Linked DNA regions of Schizosaccharomyces pombe. The gene in region 1 interacts genetically with each later gene. Each region holds a gene or a part of one and is shown in the gene's direction. Other genes may lie near its edges.

What was found.
Region 2: of mbx2 (region 1) and lkh1, changing one suppresses a phenotype caused by changing the other (phenotypic suppression), as found in Schizosaccharomyces pombe (one study listed by BioGRID).
Region 3: of mbx2 (region 1) and pfl3, changing one suppresses a phenotype caused by changing the other (phenotypic suppression), as found in Schizosaccharomyces pombe (one study listed by BioGRID).
Region 4: of mbx2 (region 1) and pfl9, changing one suppresses a phenotype caused by changing the other (phenotypic suppression), as found in Schizosaccharomyces pombe (one study listed by BioGRID).

Annotation. Positions count from the first base shown.
Region 1 is NC_003423.3:3,624,724-3,629,168, forward strand, and holds mbx2 (MADS-box transcription factor), read left to right. Parts: upstream 1-1,915; coding exon 1,916-3,034; 3' UTR 3,035-3,935; downstream 3,936-4,445. UniProt on the Schizosaccharomyces pombe protein: Acts in transcription regulation. May bind to a MEF2-like typee II promoter sequence.
Region 2 is NC_003424.3:655,550-662,205, reverse strand, and holds lkh1 (dual-specificity), read left to right. Parts: upstream 1-2,028; 5' UTR 2,029-3,373; coding exon 3,374-5,446; 3' UTR 5,447-5,965; downstream 5,966-6,656. Other genes in the region: 3' tRNA-processing endonuclease tRNAse Z L2 Trz1, read right to left, coding at 5,966-6,656. UniProt on the Schizosaccharomyces pombe protein: Protein kinase that may act as a negative regulator of filamentous growth and flocculation. Appears to have a role in normal cell wall and septum formation and in cell separation.
Region 3 is NC_003423.3:669,065-674,788, reverse strand, and holds pfl3 (DIPSY family glycoprotein), read left to right. Parts: upstream 1-1,953; 5' UTR 1,954-2,127; coding exon 2,128-5,049; 3' UTR 5,050-5,208; downstream 5,209-5,724. UniProt on the Schizosaccharomyces pombe protein: May be involved in agglutination during conjugation or other aspects of colony formation. Induces flocculation when overexpressed.
Region 4 is NC_003424.3:5,525,844-5,529,499, forward strand, and holds pfl9 (DIPSY family glycoprotein), read left to right. Parts: upstream 1-1,848; coding exon 1,849-2,829; 3' UTR 2,830-3,116; downstream 3,117-3,656. UniProt on the Schizosaccharomyces pombe protein: May be involved in agglutination during conjugation or other aspects of colony formation. Induces flocculation when overexpressed.

The DNA of each region.
Region 1 (4,445 bases):
GTCTAGCTATACTAAAGTATAAGCAGGTCGTAACGGTCGATTCATTGCGAAATCAAATTACTCATAAGCTACCTCTCTGGTTATTTTTTCCCAATGTACTGTATTCGTATTGTACCCCATTCTTACCGGATACATTTATTAATAGAGCAAGTTACGAAAAGCAAAATCAGAGCGAGTCTATTTTCGGACTTGTGTGTCTAAGTATAGTCAAGGAGCGGAGACAACACTCGTAATATTGTTCCTTCACGCCCTCCTCCCCCTTTCCCCTTTGAATTGAGTATCGTACACTGCATCAGTAATAGGGTCAGCGTTTCCAATTGACTGACTGGTTGAAAAGTGAAGGATTACATACGAAAATCCCTAAACGCGATCATCAGCGCATTCCGAATTTTCGTATCTTTCTATCTCTTCGATTCTTTCTTTAGCCTTGCCAAGTATTTTGGCTGGCCCATACGCTTTGCCTGACTATCGCGTCTAAAAATAAAATCCCCTTTCCAAAACCTTGGATTAGGTGCATGGGATTACTATGATTCTTTCCTAATAATTGCTAATCCCGCTTTCTTTCTATTTTTTTCTACTATTACTGCAAAGTCAGGTTTGCAATCCAAGTGGACTTTAACCATACTCAAAAGGTACCTTCTAACCTTCTTTCCATTATGTCCATCTTCCTCCTCCAATTAAAGGATTTTCCTACTTAGGGCTCATTTAATCGAGGCTATCCCACCTTTTTCATGAAAAAGTATTCGGCCTTGTGACCTCCCCTTTTCGAAAAGAGAGATGAAGAAATAGTTTAAATTACCCGAGTAGCCGAAACGGTGAATTTTCAGAATGTCTACATGAGGAACATAATGTACACTTATACGCGTTTGTATATTGAGAATTCATCGGTAATGTTGGCAAAGTGCTACGCATCTTCGGATAAACGTGAATGGAAGACATTTAGCCCCTAATTTTGGTGTACTTATGCAGGAAAAACCTATCCCTTAACAATTGCCTATGGAGGGAAAGAGAAAATTTTTTTCGTTCACTATTGGAATTTATTTTCTTTTGCATAAATATGTACAATGGTATGTTACGATGCTGGCGTCGATACTTGTCTAAGTTAGAACGCAGTGTGTATTACGAAGGTTGCATTAAATAGACGTTGCGGTTTCCTAGTTATTGCTATCCCTGTATATATATACACATATATATGTACAAAAACACGTATTTACACGCACTTATAAACGCACACAGACAACAAACAAATACCTAATTTTATAATTTCAAGTTGTTGAGACAGATTAATTTATTTATAAAACTTGGCGAGAAGATATTTTTAAACCTGACATTGAAAAGGAGGGGACAATTGTTAAAAATATAGCTTCAAAGGCAAAAATTTCTCCAAAGTGTTGATTCTTCCTCTTTCTATTTTAAAAATAGCACACAAAAACATCTAGTCATTTAATTTGTCTTTGTTCCTCTCATTTGTAAACACTTGAAAACCACCCGTTCCGGCTATCTTGTTTACTAAAAAAATTTTTTCTATTAATATCTTTAGTTTCGTCGCCCGCTTCAACCCAGAGTACAAAAACAAAAATAGCTTCCTCGTTTTTAAATCTCAACTTAGATTCGTCTAATCGACTATCAATTACGAGCACAATTGGAGAACTTTGCGCTCTTGTTTTCTCAAGCGAAAAATCTACCCTCAAGAGATCCGGTGCAGAGAAGGGAAGACAGGGATAAAAACTGTTACATAAATTCCAAGAATAAACCCCATCTGCTGTTTTCTATTTGTTCCTTATATACTTGCCCGTTTGCTCGCTCGTTTGCTCGTTTGTTTTCGTCATTCTCCCTATACCTGAATTTTGGTTAACCTCGTCGACTCTTTTTCTCTTTTCTCGTCAAACCTTACTAAATATATACAACGTCTAATATGGGGCGCAAAAAAATCTCCATTGCACCCATAACCGACGATCGTTCAAGGAGCGTAACTTTTGTCAAACGAAAACAAGGTCTCTACAAAAAGGCGTATGAACTCGCTGTGCTAGCCGATTGTGAAGTCGCCGTCACAGTCATTGATCGGAAAGGACGTTTGCACGTCTTTTGTTCCTCTGACTATCAACGTACTCTTCAACAACTCAACACTCTCAGCATATATGAGTTAAAAAACCGTTCTCATTTTTCGTCATCGCCTGTCGAAGAGTCAAGTACCGTGTCTCCAGAAACGACAACTGGTTCATTTACTCCTCTTAATAATAAGCATTTGAAGTCACAGGACCAACCTTTATCAGACTCCCAACTCGACACTGGTGATTCTCCTGCAACATCGGAAACGACTGTTCAGGACTATAATCCTCAAGTTCAGTCTTACTGTCGTCCCGAGCCTTTATCGTCTAATCACGTTCGTTCTTGTCCTCCATTTCCTCCCACACAACATCATCATCCCCATACTCGTCCTCCTCATCATCCACCTCATCCTCATTTTCATAACAATAACTATCCACCGCCCTATTGTTTCCAATCTCCTGTGTCTCCGGGTGCTACAGTTCCATTGCAACATCATTCTCCGTACCCTAGTGATAACGGCTTTCCTGGTCATCGTAGGCAAACGCACTTCGCTCCTTACTACTATCCACAAAGAGCTACGTCTCCTTCTTTGAAACAAGTTCCAACTTATCTGGGTACTCATGTACTGCAACAAGACCAGTCCACCTATGATCAGAAGGTCCTTATGCCTCCAGCAAGTTATCTTTCTTCACCTAATCAATACACCTTAAAAAATGTCTCTCCTGGTAACCCGGCTTGCCCTCCTTTTCTCTATGAACATCCAAATCCACAGCTAACGCCTGAGATGTTTGATGTTAAACAAGGCTCACCTATTCCGCCTACTGCGTATTCGGGTAGCAGTTGTGAGACTTCTCAACATACCATTGCGAATACTCCATTTTTGGCATATGATCGCTCTCCTTCCTTAACGAATCAAGAAGCTGAATCATCCTTCCAAGACGTAGCTTCCATTAGTCCACATTCACTCAGTGATGTCAAATACTAAAGAATATCATAGAAGTCAATCTCCCTTTCAAATGTCTTCATCATGTGTCCTCCCTGGATCTAATGAATCGTATACAAGTAATAATTTTAGTTGGCATACATCTCGATCAAATCCTTACAATCGTTTTCTTACTCAAACTGCATATGATTTGGAGCAATCCAAGCACCAATAGTTTACTGCCAAGCTGTGCGATGCCCATTTTTTTAATTTGACTTACATCGCATTCCAGTAAACAATTGTTAATACTAGGTCTATCAATTTATCGTTATAGTTGAATTACGCGAACGAAATTACTGACCTAGCAATAATTGAAGTTTGGAATGTTGTTCAATAAAATGGACACCTACCGATAGCTTATGGATTCAATGTGAACTACAAACCTAGCATGATTTCAGACGCTAGCAAATACAAATACCTGAACATTTCAGATGTGCCAATGGTTTAACTTTGTTAACTTCCATCTTCGGTATTTTGGATCCTCCCTGTTATGAATTCAAGATGGTGATTTTCGGTTTAAATATTTATTTGCAAACTGCGGGCAGTTTATCACTTATTTATTCAGGCACGCATTTTGTCTATTCAAGTGGACTAAGTTTTTTCGTGATTTTGTTTTAACCACCTCCTTCCACTTCATTAATTAATTCACCAACATGTAACATTCGCGGACCAACCTTTATGTTCGCATTCAAATTTTTTTTTGGAGCCGCTAATTTCTAATTAGACGTTTCTCATTCGTTTTCAAGGTTATACATGGTTTATTTTCGTGTGTTTGACTCGATTTTTTGCTAGATTTTTCACGGTTTCTCCTTTTTAATCAAGAACGTTTGACGATTCACAGAACCTTTTTCAAACCCCTAATTACAGTTTTCAACAATAACATGAGAAATTCGAACTTTCCGTGTAGTTTTACAGAGTAATGTTTAAGTGTTTGTTAGTATGTCGGTGTGTAAGTGTAGCGTAGCGATAACCGTCCAGCTTCAAAGGTAAGATGCAGGGGAGTAATGCAGCAGCTAATTTTATATGGCGGAATGAGCATGGTAGCACTCTTCAAAGAAGGTGGAATAGGAATTTGGCTTCATGCGAAATTATGTTAACAGAAACCTGAGTTTCTGTAACATATTATTATATACGTGGCTTAGGACATCCAAACAAATAAATGAAATTCTTTAGTATAAGAAGATGAAGAAGATATAAAAGATTACCAATGTTATGCAAACGATGGAACATGAATCAACCGCATAAAACTCAGTCGCTGTATCAAAAATGACCATCGTGGGATGCTGACATAGGCAATCAAGTTTCTCACTTCAAATAAATTAGAGACTGATTTGGCAAATATTTGAGAATTGATCCTCTATTTGACAAATCATTTTAACTTATTTTATGACAGACAAGTCTGTTTGTATTTTGG
Region 2 (6,656 bases), on another chromosome or scaffold:
TTATAGATGTTACTATGTATAGCAAGATTAATTAACATGTTATTGTTATTTGTTATTATGTTTTTAATACTATGTATTTATAGCATCTGTAATGTCTGCGTTTTTCAACTGCCAAAGAGCGCATTTTCTACAAGTTTCGGTTAATGTTGCAAATAACCGATTAGACTTTCATGTCATGACACTTGATTTCACTTGTGCTGACGCTTTTTTATGAACGGCATATCGCTGTTCAGCTGCTTTACCGACATGTAATGGCCAAATCTCGAGCTTGACACTTTGTAAAAAGTCTCAATAATAATTCCCCATCCACAACTGACATACATAATTGATAGTACTTACTAGCCTTTACCCTTGCCAGCCAGACAGCTTCCACTGTACTGAGGTCAGGGATCATGACATAGACTGATTGCAAATTACGAACAAGACCGTCAATCTGCACTTTAGCATCTCCTAAAATAATAATCGTTAAAGCCGACTAGCTATTAGGGATGACGGGAGGAGCAAAAAAATAGCCTGAAAAAAGAAAAAGAAAAGAAAGCGTATTTAAAGAAAGGTTAAAATTTTCTTTGTTCTTTCAATAAGTAAGCAGTTTACTCCTGGTCCAGAAGTGCGACGGACCTTGCGTGCCGGTAAGGAAGTTGCAAAAAAAAAAAAAAAGGAAAAAAAGAACCGAGATAAAGTTGACTTTCAACTTCCGTCTGCAGTAACCGGATTTCCCAAAAATTTCAACGGGTAATTCAATTATGCAAGGGGATTGTCATTCTTTTTTTTACATTTTTGAGTTTCACGACACATTAGTCCCTTAATTGCAGCTACAACCATGCCTTGTTGCCTATTTTTTTCCTTTGCTTAATTACAATTTCTCACCCCATTTGAAGTCATGTTGATTGAATTTTTCACATCCCGTTTTCAAGCTCTAACATCAGTCATTGTAGATGATTGATTGTAGAAAATTATATTTGTTTCCTTTTCGCGACCATTAAATGATTATTCAATAGTTGATGAATTATTGCCTTTGTTGTTTTGTTACTCATCATGGCAATTTTATCGTATTATTTGTTACATAGATTATTGTCATCCACTAAATTTTTTGATGGCCAAGCGTCGCTGTTTGGACGAAATATTCGATTACCGAGGACGGATGGCCATAATCAAGACTAGTTTGGTAAGAGAATTTGGCAGATGGGCTGGACGACATTTGTTGAAAGTGTGAGAAACGCTTCTGAAAAGGCATGTTTTCTATATTTCATTTCTATTCTGGTAAAGAATTGTGCGGAATACTATACCATGGACAAATGGGGCGGGCGACAAGGCAGCTACAGTATAAGCGGGCATATAGCATTCATTGTATAATACAGTATATAGTACATGGTAGGTAGAGTTGGATAGAGATGGTGAGAATGACAGTTGCATTATTTATGCGTAAAACTATATGTAAATTTTATAACTATTTATGTAAACATGCGTTTATATATGTGTATGAGTGTGCATGCTTGTGTACATTTGTGTGTGTGTGTATGTGTGGTGTGTATTGATGTTTGAATGGTATGATGACAATGATAAGCCATTTCTTACGAAAACTCCTTAAGTGAATATGGTTGAGTTGAATGGAGCGGCATTTGAATGGTAAATGATTAGTGATCTAAATTAATGAAAATTCATTCAGCGCCTCTGCCTCTACGGCCATGGCGGTTTTCGTAGATCTCAGCCCTTCAGAGTAGCAAGCGTCTCTTACGCTATAGTTGGGTGACGGCTAGGTACGTTGCATACTGCGCACATGGTGTTGTGGAATGTGTATACTTTTTCATAGGAAGGAGGTGCCAAACGCAACGCGCCTGGATGGTGATTGTTGGGTTGTTCCCTCGTCCGGCCAATTTTTTCCAGCTATTTTATTTTAAGGATAGAATAACAATGATGTTGTTCCGGTCTCACAAACATGATTATCTCATGCAAATTTCACCTTTTCTAAGTGGCTTTACCAAAGAAAACGCAACTTATTATTATCCAAACTCTTGCTAATTCCTTTTTACTTTCTCCACATCCCTCGAATTGGCTTGAGGCTTTTTCTTTTATCCTTTCTATCCTCAATTACTAGTTTTCTTAGCAGTTGTATTATTAGGACATTGCTTTGTTGTTTTACCCCCCCCCCATTGGAATTACATTCTGTGGGATTGAAGGAAAGAAAAAGAAAATTGCTTATTAAGAGTCGTATATACTTCATTCTTCAATTTACTACACTCACTACTTGCTTTTCTCCATCTACGATCTACCATTTTGTTAGGTAGACTTTCGTACTACAGCTACATCGCTTGTCGTCGACTTTGTGTGCTTTTGAAAACTGCCCTGGTAATTGCCGATTCTTTTGGGGGTTATTTATACTTTTGTTTTATCCAAATTACTAATCCGCCTGATTTGGACATTGATCAATTTTGGTAGTAGCGCAATCGCACCCCCTCAAACACAAAAACCTCATCATTGTCTCATGGTACAATATTGCCTTGGAACATCATTACTTTAAAGCAATACGATTGATACAAAGGTTTCCGCTAGTTGTTGATTGAAGGTTTGGTGTTTATCGTTTTTTCGTGTTTGATTTGCCTTTACAGACCCTCCGTGTTCGGCATACTTATTCTCCGGTATTGTAGATATTTATTTCTCTCCGATACCTTTTTGCATTTGCTGTTTCTCTTTACTGTTGCACCCTACATTTGATTGAGAAAGGGGTTTAGTGGTTGTCGTCAATTGTCTTTATTCTGAGAAAACGGCTTTCTTCTCCCTGATATAAGAAACCATTTGGTTTGATAAATATATTTCAAGTTCACTTTCTCACTGTTTTCCGCTTCTTTGCTGATTTATCGTTTGATCGACGGCCTTGCAATTTTACAACGTCGAGAATTTTAACTTCTTTCTTCGTGATTGCATTCAAATTTTGAAACTCTTTCGAAGTAGGTGTACCAGTTAACTTGATTGCTCATTCTTCCTCCCATTCTCTGCTTCTTGATGAACTAGCTGTTCTGGTCCAACACCAATTGTCGAATGCTTGTCAGTTCAGTTCTATTGCTTTAATTCGTCCATTTTTTATTTTTATTTTTTAAATTCCGCCTTTCTATTTTGTTCTTACCCTTCGACGAGTCGAAAAAAAAGGTTTTTTATTGCTTTTGTCGCTTGGTGACTTCGAACAAGGAAACTTTTCCCCTTATTATTGTTTGAGAAACACTTATTTTCGGTGGTTGGTATCTCTTTTCATCATTTTTGCTTCTGGTTTTGCATAATTCTAAAAGATACTTATCCCTTTTTTCAGGTTTCGACGTCTTCTACCTCTTCACTTTACCAATTTGCTCGCATGACTTAGACGGAATCTTTTTATTGTAAAATGCATTCCTTAAAACGTCGTAGAAATCATGCGCCTGATTGGCAGGACTTTTATAAAAATGGTGTTCCACAAGAAGTCATTGTTATAGAGGACTCAGCTTCTCCACGGCTTACCCCTAATTTACCGCCTCCTTTTTCTGTTCATCAATTACAATCCTTCGTACCTCCGCAACCTCCCTCATCATCATCACCCTCTACCACTGGCACTGTGGCAGTCCCTATCAATGGTGCGAATGCTGTTTATCCATCAACTAACTCGGTATCTCTTCCTCAATCCTATGATCCATGGTTGGATGCTAATGGCGTCGTTCCATTACCGCATGATGTCGCCAGCCATCCTTCATATATGGTTCAGTCTCCTACATCGTATCATGCGTGTTCAAATAATCAATCGCCATTTCCCCATTCACATCATCCTCCCCTTCATAATCCACTACCTGTTTCATGTCAACCTGTTTTACGGCCGCCTCCTGTCCCTCAAGTTCCTTCACACTGGTACCCGGTTTCGCTTCCCTCTCCTAATTTACCTCACCAACCAATTTCTAAACCTCCAGTGATCCCTAATTTACCAAAGCTCCAAGTCCATCCGAACAGGCTTCCACATCCCATCCATAATCATCCTTACTCGTCTCCAACCTCTTATCCTCCCCCACTATGTCCTGCAACGTATTGTCCTTCTAACCCTCCTCAGCTAGCTCCGGCTACTGCTATCGCTCCTTCCTCGCAATCGTCTCAACATAAAAGTGTAAATTATTCCGTCACCCCAAGTTCCATTAACAATCATACCGCTGTACCATTATCTCCAACGCTGGCCGTATGGCTTCCGATGACTCAACCAACTTTCCAACCTCCTTCTGCAAACGTTTATCAACCGGCTTCTAATGCCAATCAAGTTATCACTCCTGTATCTATTTCCGATTATCGACCTCCGAAGAAAAGGAAGCGAGCTGCATGGCCCCCATATAAAAAAGTCGACCGCGTAAATGTTCCTGTTGTGCATGATACTACCGCTTTTGATCCATCAACTTTTGATGATGATGACGGTCATTACAAGGTTGTACCTAACTCCAAATTTGCCAACCGTTATACAGTTGTTCGTTTGCTTGGGCACGGTACTTTTGGCAAAGTTATCCAGTGTTACGATCAAAGTACAGGTAGACATTGTGCTATCAAGGTGACTCGAGCAATTCCAAAGTACAGAGAAGCTAGTCTCATTGAATTAAGAGTTTTACAAACTATAGCTCATAGTGATCCGACAAATGAAAATAAGTGCATTCAGTTACGCGATTATTTCGATTACCGCAAGCACATCTGCATTGTGACTGATCTTTTTGGCTGGAGTGTCTTTGATTTTTTAAAGAATAACAACTACATTCCTTTCCCTTTGAAGCATATTCAGATGCTATCCCAACAACTTTTTAAAAGTGTTGCGTTTCTTCACTCTTTGGGACTAGTACATACCGATCTTAAACCCGAAAATGTTCTTCTGGTATCTAATGCCTCAAGAACTATTCGATTACCTTATCGGAATTATTCACAGAAAGTCCTTAATAGTTGTGAAATCCGGCTTATCGACTTTGGTAGTGCAACATTTGAAGATGAATACCATTCCAGTGTAGTGAGTACTCGTCATTATCGTGCTCCAGAGATTATTTTAGGGTTGGGTTGGTCTTATCCTTGCGATGTTTGGAGTATTGGATGTATTTTAGTTGAGTTATTCACGGGACAAGCCTTGTTTCAAACCCATGAAGATAGTGAGCATCTGTGCATGATGGAAAAAATCCTGGGTCCCTTTGATAGGAATATGATTTCGCGTTCCTCTCGTACATCGCAACGTTTTTTTAAATCTGACGGAAAAGTCCGTTATCCTTTGTCAAATACGCCTAAAAAAAGCATTAATTATCTTCAATCTCTGCAAACGCTAGAGCAAATATTTGCAGTATCATCTCCAGAAGTGGCTTTGCTGCTTGATTTATTGAAAAAAGTATTCGTTTACGATCCTAAGCGGCGAATAACTGCAAAAGAGGCCCTTTGGCATCCCTTTTTCACCCAACCAATTTCTTCAAATTTGTGATGGATAAACTTAGAGATTTATAATTTACTTCATGTTTTTCAATAATTTTCACTCTTTCTAATTTACAAATCTACGGAAGTCTCGTATTTCTGGTTTGTGTTACGCTTTAGCTGATGTTTATTCGTTTGTTATTATTCAGTTTCTTAGACGAAAACTCGCATGTTCTACAATTACTTTAATTGCATAGAGTACTTGGTTATCCGATATAAATTAAAACTCAAAATTGTCCTCTTTTTAGATTATTCCATAAAGGTTTGATTAAGTCGTCAATTACACTCGTAAATTTTGGTCCTTGGGTTAAATAGTAGTTACTCAGTGAAATAAAAGAAAAAAAGATCATTAATGGTTTTCAGGACTATTTTAATAGATACGGATTACCTTGACAATTTTTTTGAAGTCTGAAGTATTTTGTTATGAACATAATTGTATAATGAAGAAAAGGTTTGCCCATTTCATTAAACAACAGAGATCACTTGCCTGAGACCCAATTTATATAATATGAGACAATAGCTCAAGTAGTTAGAACTTTAAAGGATCCGACTCCTCTTTTAAATTTTCCTCATTAAATAGATAAGCCAGAGGCTTTCCAAAATAACGAAACAATGAGATATCCGATATTTTAAGAGTCATTCCATCAAACGCCAAAGCTATATGTAAGTCTTCTGTCGAAATATCAATGTCTGGTAATTTGGGATATCGTTGGCTAAAATGAGTCAAAATAACGTTTTTTGTACCAGCTTTTTTGGCCACTTCTAAAGCTTCAGAGTAAGTACTGTGTTGCTTTTTTATTGCAATTTCGTGCATAGAGTCTTCCAAAGTAGCTTCGTGAATTAATAAAGTTGAGTCTTTGGCAATGTTAGCAAAATCCTCAGAAGGTCGAGTATCTCCAGAGTATGCGATCTTCCAACCACTGGAATTAGTAATCTCCATGCAATATGAATACGGGCAGTGTATGGCAGGAACCGTTCGAAAAGATACTAAATCAAATTCTTTAAATAAAGAAGACAACCTAGAGGATTCCAAAGCAGACGGCTTCCTGTCAGTACGTAAAGCACTATTGGAAATAAATACGATGTTGGATAATGGTAGATAATCAATCCTTGAGTATTCTAGTAGCCAAAATTCAAATTGTGGAGGTGCTGTTATAAACAACTTTGATCTGCCATCTGAGTACTTCGTCCAAGCCTTTAAAACCCCTATAACACCAGCA
Region 3 (5,724 bases), 3.0 Mb from region 1:
AATGAAAAATTTAAATGGGTTGGATATTCTAGCAGTCGATTATTGGCTTTCTTTTCTTTTCTTCCTTTAAATATTATTATTATTAATACTCTTTAATCAATTGCCTCTCTTTTTCTAGAGTTTCCTTTTTTTCTGGCTTACTTTTTCGCATTCTGCCAAGGTGCCCTATTAAACAAAAGGTAATCAATAGTACCCTTCTAATGCAAGAAAAAAGTCTCCAATTCGCTTTTCCCCCTTTGCAATATCAGTAAGCAAATAACTCCATCCAAGCTCATTAGATGGGATAGCACATACACACATGCTACAAACCTTCAATTTTACCCGTTTACCCGACTTTCCAGCAGCACATAGAAGATGGACAAGGGGCATGGCAAATGTGCATGCATATGGCAAACAAATATGTGCAAAATGACATTATTAAACGATCATAGCAGTTCGAAATGGACTTGGTAAAACAGTCAACTCTTGGCTGTTAAGGAGGAATAGTAAGTTATCAGTTTAAGCCACAGTATGTATGGTATGGGAAAAAACATCGGAAATTTGGATAGAAAAAGTATTATGAGTGAGATGAAAAAACTCTTAGAGGAAGTGTTTTGAGTCGGAATATTTATGATAAGTATTGATGTTGAACAGTTTTTCATTTAAATTTTTATTATAATTATTATTAAATTTTTTTTTTTAATTTTTTTTTTTTTTTTATTTACTTTATGTCAGAGTTATGCTTACTTGATGGATTATTGTGTCTAAACTTACAAAATTAATAATTTTATATTAAATTTGAATTTTCTCTTTAATTTACGTCCACTAAATTTAATAATTAAATGAAATAGAATAGAATTGTATATTTCATAATTTTTCGTCATTGCATATCATTTTTTTATTTTTTATTTTATTTTATTTTTTTCTTTATTCTTTTTGATTTATTTTATTTGCTTTTACTCAATGTTGATTTTCTTTTTAATTTATTAATGTTTTCAATTTATCCTCCTTTTATTTGCAAGGTATCTTTTTTTTTTAATACCATACAACACCGTTGCGTATAGAAAACCTTGTGTACATTCATTTTATTCAATTATTCACCCATCATCCACATTTATAACCTTCGAATAAGCTTACGATAGAGTTTGTTTTAGATTTCTGTACTTGTTACTAATCTATGTAAGTTTTCTATGAATAAACCAATTTATATTTTAGCAAATCTATTTTTGTAGAGCGATGCTTTCTCTCGTTTACCCAGGTTTCCCCAAATAGTCAAGTGAGCTTAAAGAGACGACGATCTACATGAAACTAGAAAACAACAAATGAACGTGACAATAAGATTAAATCATAAATAAAAACAATGTTATTTCTGGAAATTAAACGAAAAATCATCACATTTAGGCAATATGCAGAAGATTTTGTCAGATCACTGGATTTAAGTCGTAAATTTTGTTCCTTTCTTCTTTAGTCAATCTTCCTATCTAGTGCGGGTTTTCTTATTAGTCTATGTAAATTCAGAAAAGCAGTATAAAATTTTTAGACGCTCTCTCATCAAGTATATAAAATGGAACACATCAGTTACTCGCAGGAATGGAAAAAAATTCGCTAATAAATCTCCCAAATTCGTTTACTGTTTCACCATAGACTTTTTAAGGACTGAAGAAAATAATCTCTTTGTTTTTCTCTTTTTCCTTTCCTTTCCTTTTTTTTTTTTTTTTTTTTTCTTTAAGATAGTACTCACATAGGGAAATCTCAAGCCATTCAAGCATTCGGATAAATCCGGTACGGTAATATTTTATCCAACATTGCAATATGGTCAGGAAGGTTAAAAAAGTTATTTTTAAAATCAGTCAGGATTAAACGGCTGCTTGCCTACCATCTGTTCTGTTTGAAGCCGAAAAATTTCGGAGTTTTCTATGAAGATGTAATTTTATTTTATCCCTATAAACACACTGGCTGGGTACACGGATCGAGAGACTTGAGAATTTTTTATTGCGAAGTATAAAAAGCTTTCAACCTGCTTAGTTAGTTTTGGTTTTTTATGTTCGAGTAATTTTAGCCGATTTGGGAACTTCTGGATCAAAAGTGCAAAAGCTTTATTTATGTATATTGTGTTTTACGATTGATTGATACAGAGATTCGCGGAACATGAGCCTGTTTCCCCAAATTCTACTAAGGCTTCTCTTTCTTGCATTTACACTAAAATCGACTTCTAATGCAGAGAAGCATGACAAGGTAGATTATAAGGATTTTGTGCGCCGGGACGATGGCGACACATGTCTGCGATATACTACTATTTATTCGCAAGGCGAGTACGAAACAACAATTACCATTCCCCCCAACTCTTATAGTAATGGCGTAAGCCTATCCAACGGGACATTGTTAAGTACTTCTTCGCCTTTGATATCAACAAGTGGTCAATTTACTTCTAATAATGTTTCAACAACCTCTTCTCAGCGACATAATACGAAGACAATTACATTCTTCAGTGGAACTTCTGATTATACGTCTGTCTATTATGATACTACAGGGACCGATGATGTTGTGTACGAGTATCATCCATCGTCAGAGAGGCATAAATCAACTAACGATACCTGGTCAACCAATTTGCCTACAAATCCGACGACAACTGCTATTTACTCAACATCAGGATCGTCAAATATTACAACGCCGTATTCCAATCGCATCACCAATTCAAATACCAGCGTTAATGATATTACATCAAAATATCTATCGGTAGGGACAATCACCTTAACTACGATTTCTGGATCTGACTTGTATACTTCCACATTTCCTGCCAATGGAACTACTAGTGGTACAGTTGAAGTTGTGATACCCACTGCTGGAACAGTTACTGAAACAGCCGTTTCTGGATCTGAATTGTATACTTCCACATTCCCCGCCAATGGAACTACTAGTGGTACTGTTGAGGTAGTAATCCCTACTGCCGGAACCCGTACTGTTACTAAAATTTCCGGTTCAAAGTTCTTTACCACTACTACGGATGCTAGTGGCACTGTGAGTGGAACTGTAGAGGTTGTTTTGCCTACCGCTGGTACGAACACTATGACTGTAGTGTCTGGTTCAAGGTTTTTTACTAGTGTAGTTTCTGCTAGTGGAACAGTCAGCGGTGAACAGGTTATTGTTTACCCTACTGCTGGTATGGTGACTGAAACCATTGTTTCAGGATCTGAAATATTTAATACTACGTATCCTGCTAGTGGAACAAGGACGGGCACAGTTGAAGTTGTGATACCCACTGCTGGTACTGTCACTGAAACCGAGATTTCTGGTTCTGAATTGTATACTTCCACATTCCCTGCCAATGGAACTACTAGTGGTACTGTTGAGGTAGTAATCCCTACTGCCGGAACCCGTACTGTTACTAAAATTTCCGGTTCAAAGTTCTTTACCACTACTACGGATGCTAGTGGCACTGTGAGTGGAACTGTAGAGGTTGTTTTGCCTACCGCTGGTACGAACACTATGACTGTAGTGTCTGGTTCAAGGTTTTTTACTAGTGTAGTTTCTGCTAGTGGAACAGTCAGCGGTGAACATATCATTGTTGAACCTACTGCTGGTGTTGTTACTGAAACGGTTGTTTCTGGATCAGTTGGATATACTACTACATATCCGGCTCATGACACTGTTTCAGGAACGGTTGAGGTTGTTGAACCTACTGCTGGTGTTGTTACTGAAACGGTTGTTTCTGGATCGGTTGGATATACTACTGCATATCCCGCACATGACACTGTTTCAGGAACGGTTGAGGTTGTTGAACCTACTGCTGGTGTTGTTACTGAAACGGTTGTTTCTGGATCGGTTGGATATACTACTACATATCCCGCACATGACACTGTTTCAGGAACGGTTGAGGTTGTTGAACCTACTGCTGGTGTTGTTACTGAAACGGTTGTTTCTGGATCGGTTGGATATACTACTACATATCCCGCACATGACACTGTTTCAGGAACGGTTGAGGTTGTTGAACCTACTGCTGGTGTTGTTACTGAAACGGTTGTTTCTGGATCGGTTGGATATACTACTACATATCCCGCACATGACACTGTTTCAGGAACGGTTGAGGTTGTTGAACCTACTGCTGGTGTTGTTACTGAAACGGTTGTTTCTGGATCAGTTGGATATACTACTACATATCCGGCTCATGACACTGTTTCAGGAACGGTTGAGGTTGTTGAACCTACTGCTGGTGTTGTTACTGAAACGGTTGTTTCTGGATCGGTTGGATATACTACTACATATCCGGCTCATGACACTGTTTCAGGAACGGTTGAGGTTGTTGAACCTACTGCTGGCGTTGTTACTGAAACGGTTGTTTCTGGATCGGTTGGATATACTACTACATATCCGGCTCATGACACTGTTTCAGGAACGGTTGAGGTTGTTGAACCGACTGCTGGTGTTGTTACTGAAACGGTTGTTTCTGGATCAGTTGGATATACTACCACATATCCTGTACAGGGTACAGTATCGGGAACTGTAATGATCGTTGAACCTACTGCTGGGTATGTTACTGTTACAACTTCATTGGGCTCTAGTTCGTATGCTACTACCGTGGCTACAGCTTCGGGTACGTCTACTGGTACTGTATTACAAGTGGTACCTTCTTTATTCCCTGGCTGTAATAGCAAATGTACCAGCAGTAATGCATTCCGTATTCTTGTCGAAAACGATTCAATCTCTCCTTCTTACCTGACTTACCGGGAATCTGACGGATTTGGTATTGCTAGTTCGAACCCTTCGCCCGCCGGTTCTGAAGGAATTTTCTACTACGATAGTACTTTGAAGCGGGTTGTTACATGTTGTGATGAAAGACCTTATTACCGTACTATGGAGGGTGATCTTGCCAAAACTTACTTTTTCATTGAGGATGAAGGAGATGGAACTTACAAGTTTAAGCTTACTTACGGCGCATTTTCCGAATATTTAGATGTTAAAATTTTGGCTGACAGCACTTTCTTTTTCAAAGCCATGGATTCATCGTCATCTACTATTTTGAATCAAAAAGTTCGTGCATCAAATGTTTACTTTAAGGCTGTGCCTTTATAAGCTCGCGAGAATTCTCTATCGCGTACTGGTGTTTTGTGAGTTAAAAAATAAAAAATTCTACAGTCGTTAATTGTTGCTTTTATGAATAAACTTAGATGTTTTATTTAATAATTATTACTAATAATTAATATATATATATATATATATACTAAATCATTATCCTATTTTTTATATTATTTTGTTACCGATGATTCCAGTAGCATTCTTTAGCATTTGCAAAGCTCTTCATAAGAAACCATAGTTTATCGATAATTATAACTTCACGTATAAGACATTACTCCTTATAATTTAGATTTAAAGGCAGCCATAGAACACTGGCAAGGTTTTGCTAAATTAAACTCTTAAAAAAATTGGATTTCGCAGACCTTGAAATTAGTAGTAAACAAGGCGGCATGTTTCGTTCTTCTTTAGTTGACTCAGAGCTGCTTTTCAAATTGATTATAAAAATTAAGCTGGATGCTTCTGTAAATAAAAGAACAATCGTAAAATTTTGCTCTCTATGGATAAAATGTAGATTTGTTAGGAAGCATTTGTTCTTTTTTTTTATTTACTGGCTCAACTAACATGATCGGAGCTTTGGCAAATTGCAGAGAAAAGGATTTCTACAATGTTGATTTATTCTTCAGATTTCTGATTAATGATAGTAGTTACTGATGTTTTTAGCAGTCATTTAGT
Region 4 (3,656 bases), on another chromosome or scaffold:
GAAGTACTCAGTAGTCTGTTACAGAATTTATGTTTTTGGTGTTATTTGAAGACAAAACCTTAATGGATTCGTTTTATACCTGTAAATATACTATCCAATTCTATCAAACGTACTTAAAAACAAATACCGATTCATAGAATTTGTTACGATGAAATATTTCTAATAATAGTATACTAATTGCAAATAATTTACCAGGTCCAAAGTCATTGATCTGGACTATATTGACATTCCAAATATTAATAGTATGTCTTAGCGTATATAAAAATTAAGAAGACTTCAACGCTAAGTATGGATTCAGCTCTTTATTTTGTTATAAAAAAATAACTCAATGCTAAACAATAAAATAGCCGAGCAGTTTTCAATTAAGAATTGTCTAGCGAAATTTCATTAAACAACCTAAATCATATGGAGTTTTTTTCTTTTTTGATATTTGGCTCAGGCAAAGAAGAAAAGTTAAGAGTGGTATTTCTTAATAAATTAATGTCTCAAAAAAGGAATAAATTTTTTTTTTAAAATGCTAAATTTTAAACGTCCTCAGTTGCATAGATGAACTTTAAATGATAAGCGAACGAAATGCAATCGATAAATCATTGTCTCTTAGTAAAGTGTTCGGTTAAAATGACTGACATTTCGTCCGAAATAATATCAGTGTAAATATCATGGGAAAATTTCGTGTATTTCTTTATTTGGAATGCGCAGCAAAGTATCAAGAGAATAATTAGTGTTTTATATGATTTAATTTTATTGCCGGTACAATTGTATGGTTGTTCTGATAAATATACATGCTTTGTCGGTTTATCACTCTGAATAAATTTGTGATATATATTGGTTTATTTATTCAATCTATGTATCATGTAGTTGATGCTTTCATTTTTTTCATAATTTTAAAAATATCAGTTAATCATTTATTCAGCAACTGTAACGTTAAATCATTAATATATATATCTATATCGGCATGCATTAAGTTGCTACCGTTAAACATCTTAATTAAAACTAGTCTTTTATAATAACTAACTCTTTAATTTTTTGAAATTAGTTCAATTTACTGTGGAGGGCAGTCGATTGATAAAAGCTTTTCGATTCACTTGTAGCTTTAATCGGTGCTCGTTGCATCAATATTGGTTTATATAAGCCAAAGCTTTCATGGCTATTAATGAGTGATGCCGGTTTAACTACTCTAAAATGTTTTGAAAATGATAGGTATGTTTTGATTTGCTTCATCTTTTTATTTCAGTATTAACAACCTAGTAATTAAAATGTTAACAAAAAAATTTGACTACCTTTTCGAATCACATGTTTTCAGTGCTAAGTTGCCTCCAGACTGTCTGCAGTGAGTATAGGTGTTTTATAAGAAATTTGCTACATAGTATCAAATCAATAATATGAATGTAGTTTTATCAAAAAAATATTCATTAAGGCGACTGTACTGAAAGAGAAGTAGGTTAATAATAGACTCTTAAGAAAATTAACGAGAGGCGTCAATTTCTGTTGCTAGCATATATTGCGAACTCGATCGGTATGTGAATTACTACGAAAACATGCGAGCCGCGTTAACAAATGTGCATTGCCTTGTCTTAAAGTAACTAAGTTTCTCAGAAGCAGTATAAATAGTAGACTACATTAATTTCGAAGTTCCGATAATGATCTTTTTATAGAACTCAAATTTTTTAATTTGATATTGAGAATTCGAATAAAAATAACTATGGGATTAACAATAAGGGGGTTTCCGAAATTTTGGGTACTGGTTTTATATGCGCAGTTTTTGTATAAATGAACAGGCCTTCTCACACGTCTTTTCGGTTCATATTTAGCGATCAGAAGTCGTTAAAAATTTTTCTCCTATAAACAATGAATGTGGTGAAGTACATAATTTTTAGCTTTGCTCTGGCGCCTTTGTTATTAGTTAACGCGAACACATATAATTTTACACAGATACAAAAGCGAAGCGTAAACCAAGCTGTTCTTGAATCAAGTCAAGATACCAATTCAGTAGGCGGTGAAGCTTCTTCAACAGCTTGCCCTTTATTCACTACTATTTACACTAATGGTATAACACCGGGAACTACAACGATTTATCCAACATCTATCTCGACATCTGGCGTATCTAGCAACAATATCGATGAAACTTCGGTATCCTCTGAGTCTATCATCACATCCACTATTACGACTACTATAACATCTGGTTCGCAACTCTATACTACTACCATTACCGGTCAAAACACACCTGTTGATACCGTTGAAGTGGTAATCCCTACTGCTGGTACTTTCACAACTACATTGACTTCTGGATCCAGTTATCCTGTCGCAACAACTACAGTGCGAACAGCTTCTGGAACACAGTCAGGTGAAGTGGAGGTTATCACACCGTCCTGTGGATGCAGTCCTGAAAATTCATTCCATCTTAAAATAGACAATGATAAAATCAGCCCTTCCTACGTGTACATGGATCCAAACGCACCCGTGAGAACTAATGGTGCCGGTCGAGAGGGGAATATGTTTGCTTCAACTAATGGAGACAACGAGGGACTAAACCTTTTCTACTATGATTCCACTATTCAACGAGTATTAACATGTGATTGTCAAAGACCGTCTTACACTGTATACATTGAAGATCCAATTATAGGCAATGGTTTTTCAAGTGCTTGGAATCTCATTAAAAATAGCGATGGCATATTTACTCCTGTTGAATCAAGAAATAATGAGCCACTACACTTTCATGTAGATAACAATGGAAGAGTATGGATGACTTCACAAGAATATGATACAGAAGTTTCATCAACCGACGAAAGAAATTTTAGGGCCAATGATGTTACACTTCAACTGTATTAGTTGAAGCAGCAAATTTAGAATTGCACATACTCTCGTTTAATTTTTTGTATTTCAGGTCATACATATAATTTTTTTTACATTCATTTGATATAATATTTTAAAATTACAATCCATGAAATCCTTTATCAATCCCTATTGAAGATGTCAAGAAGTTGACTTCCTCGGATTTCATATTTTTCTCAAGTTCTGCTGTAAACTGAAAATAGGGATATTTAAATAGTTCTTAATTATTTTTTCCACTAGAAATTGATTGCTCTACTAATAAAATACTGTTCCAAGTTATCGGCACAATTATTACTTTCGTAAACAAAATTTGTATTTTATTTATTTTTTTTTTTTTTAAATTAATCATAACTAGTGGTATTAGGAATGCATATTTTAATCTAAGTTCAAATTAATTGCTTTCATAGTAATCATTGATATTTGTTAAATAACTAGGTTTAGGTAAACCGTACTAAAATTGAACAGGAAAGGATAAATTTTAGTAAATTTTGTAGATTATGCTTTTCGTAAAAAATAGTGGTGGCCGGTTTTAAAGATAAGTTTGGATAAACTGGTTATAATTTCCTTAAGTGAAATTTAATCACTTAAAAAAATATTAGATCTAAATAGTAACTATAGACAAGTTTTGTATAAGGAAAATGACAATTAAAGATAAGGAGCTAGACTAGTCTAGCGCTTGTTTTGAGTTTAATATTAGACCATTCAGAATTTTTTTACTCATTATTACTAAAAAAGAAAACTTAAGCAAGAATTTAAATTGTGGAAAGTCTCTTTTACTTATTAATAATTGTAAGCAATAAGGATAAGAAAATCAAAACAGTTTT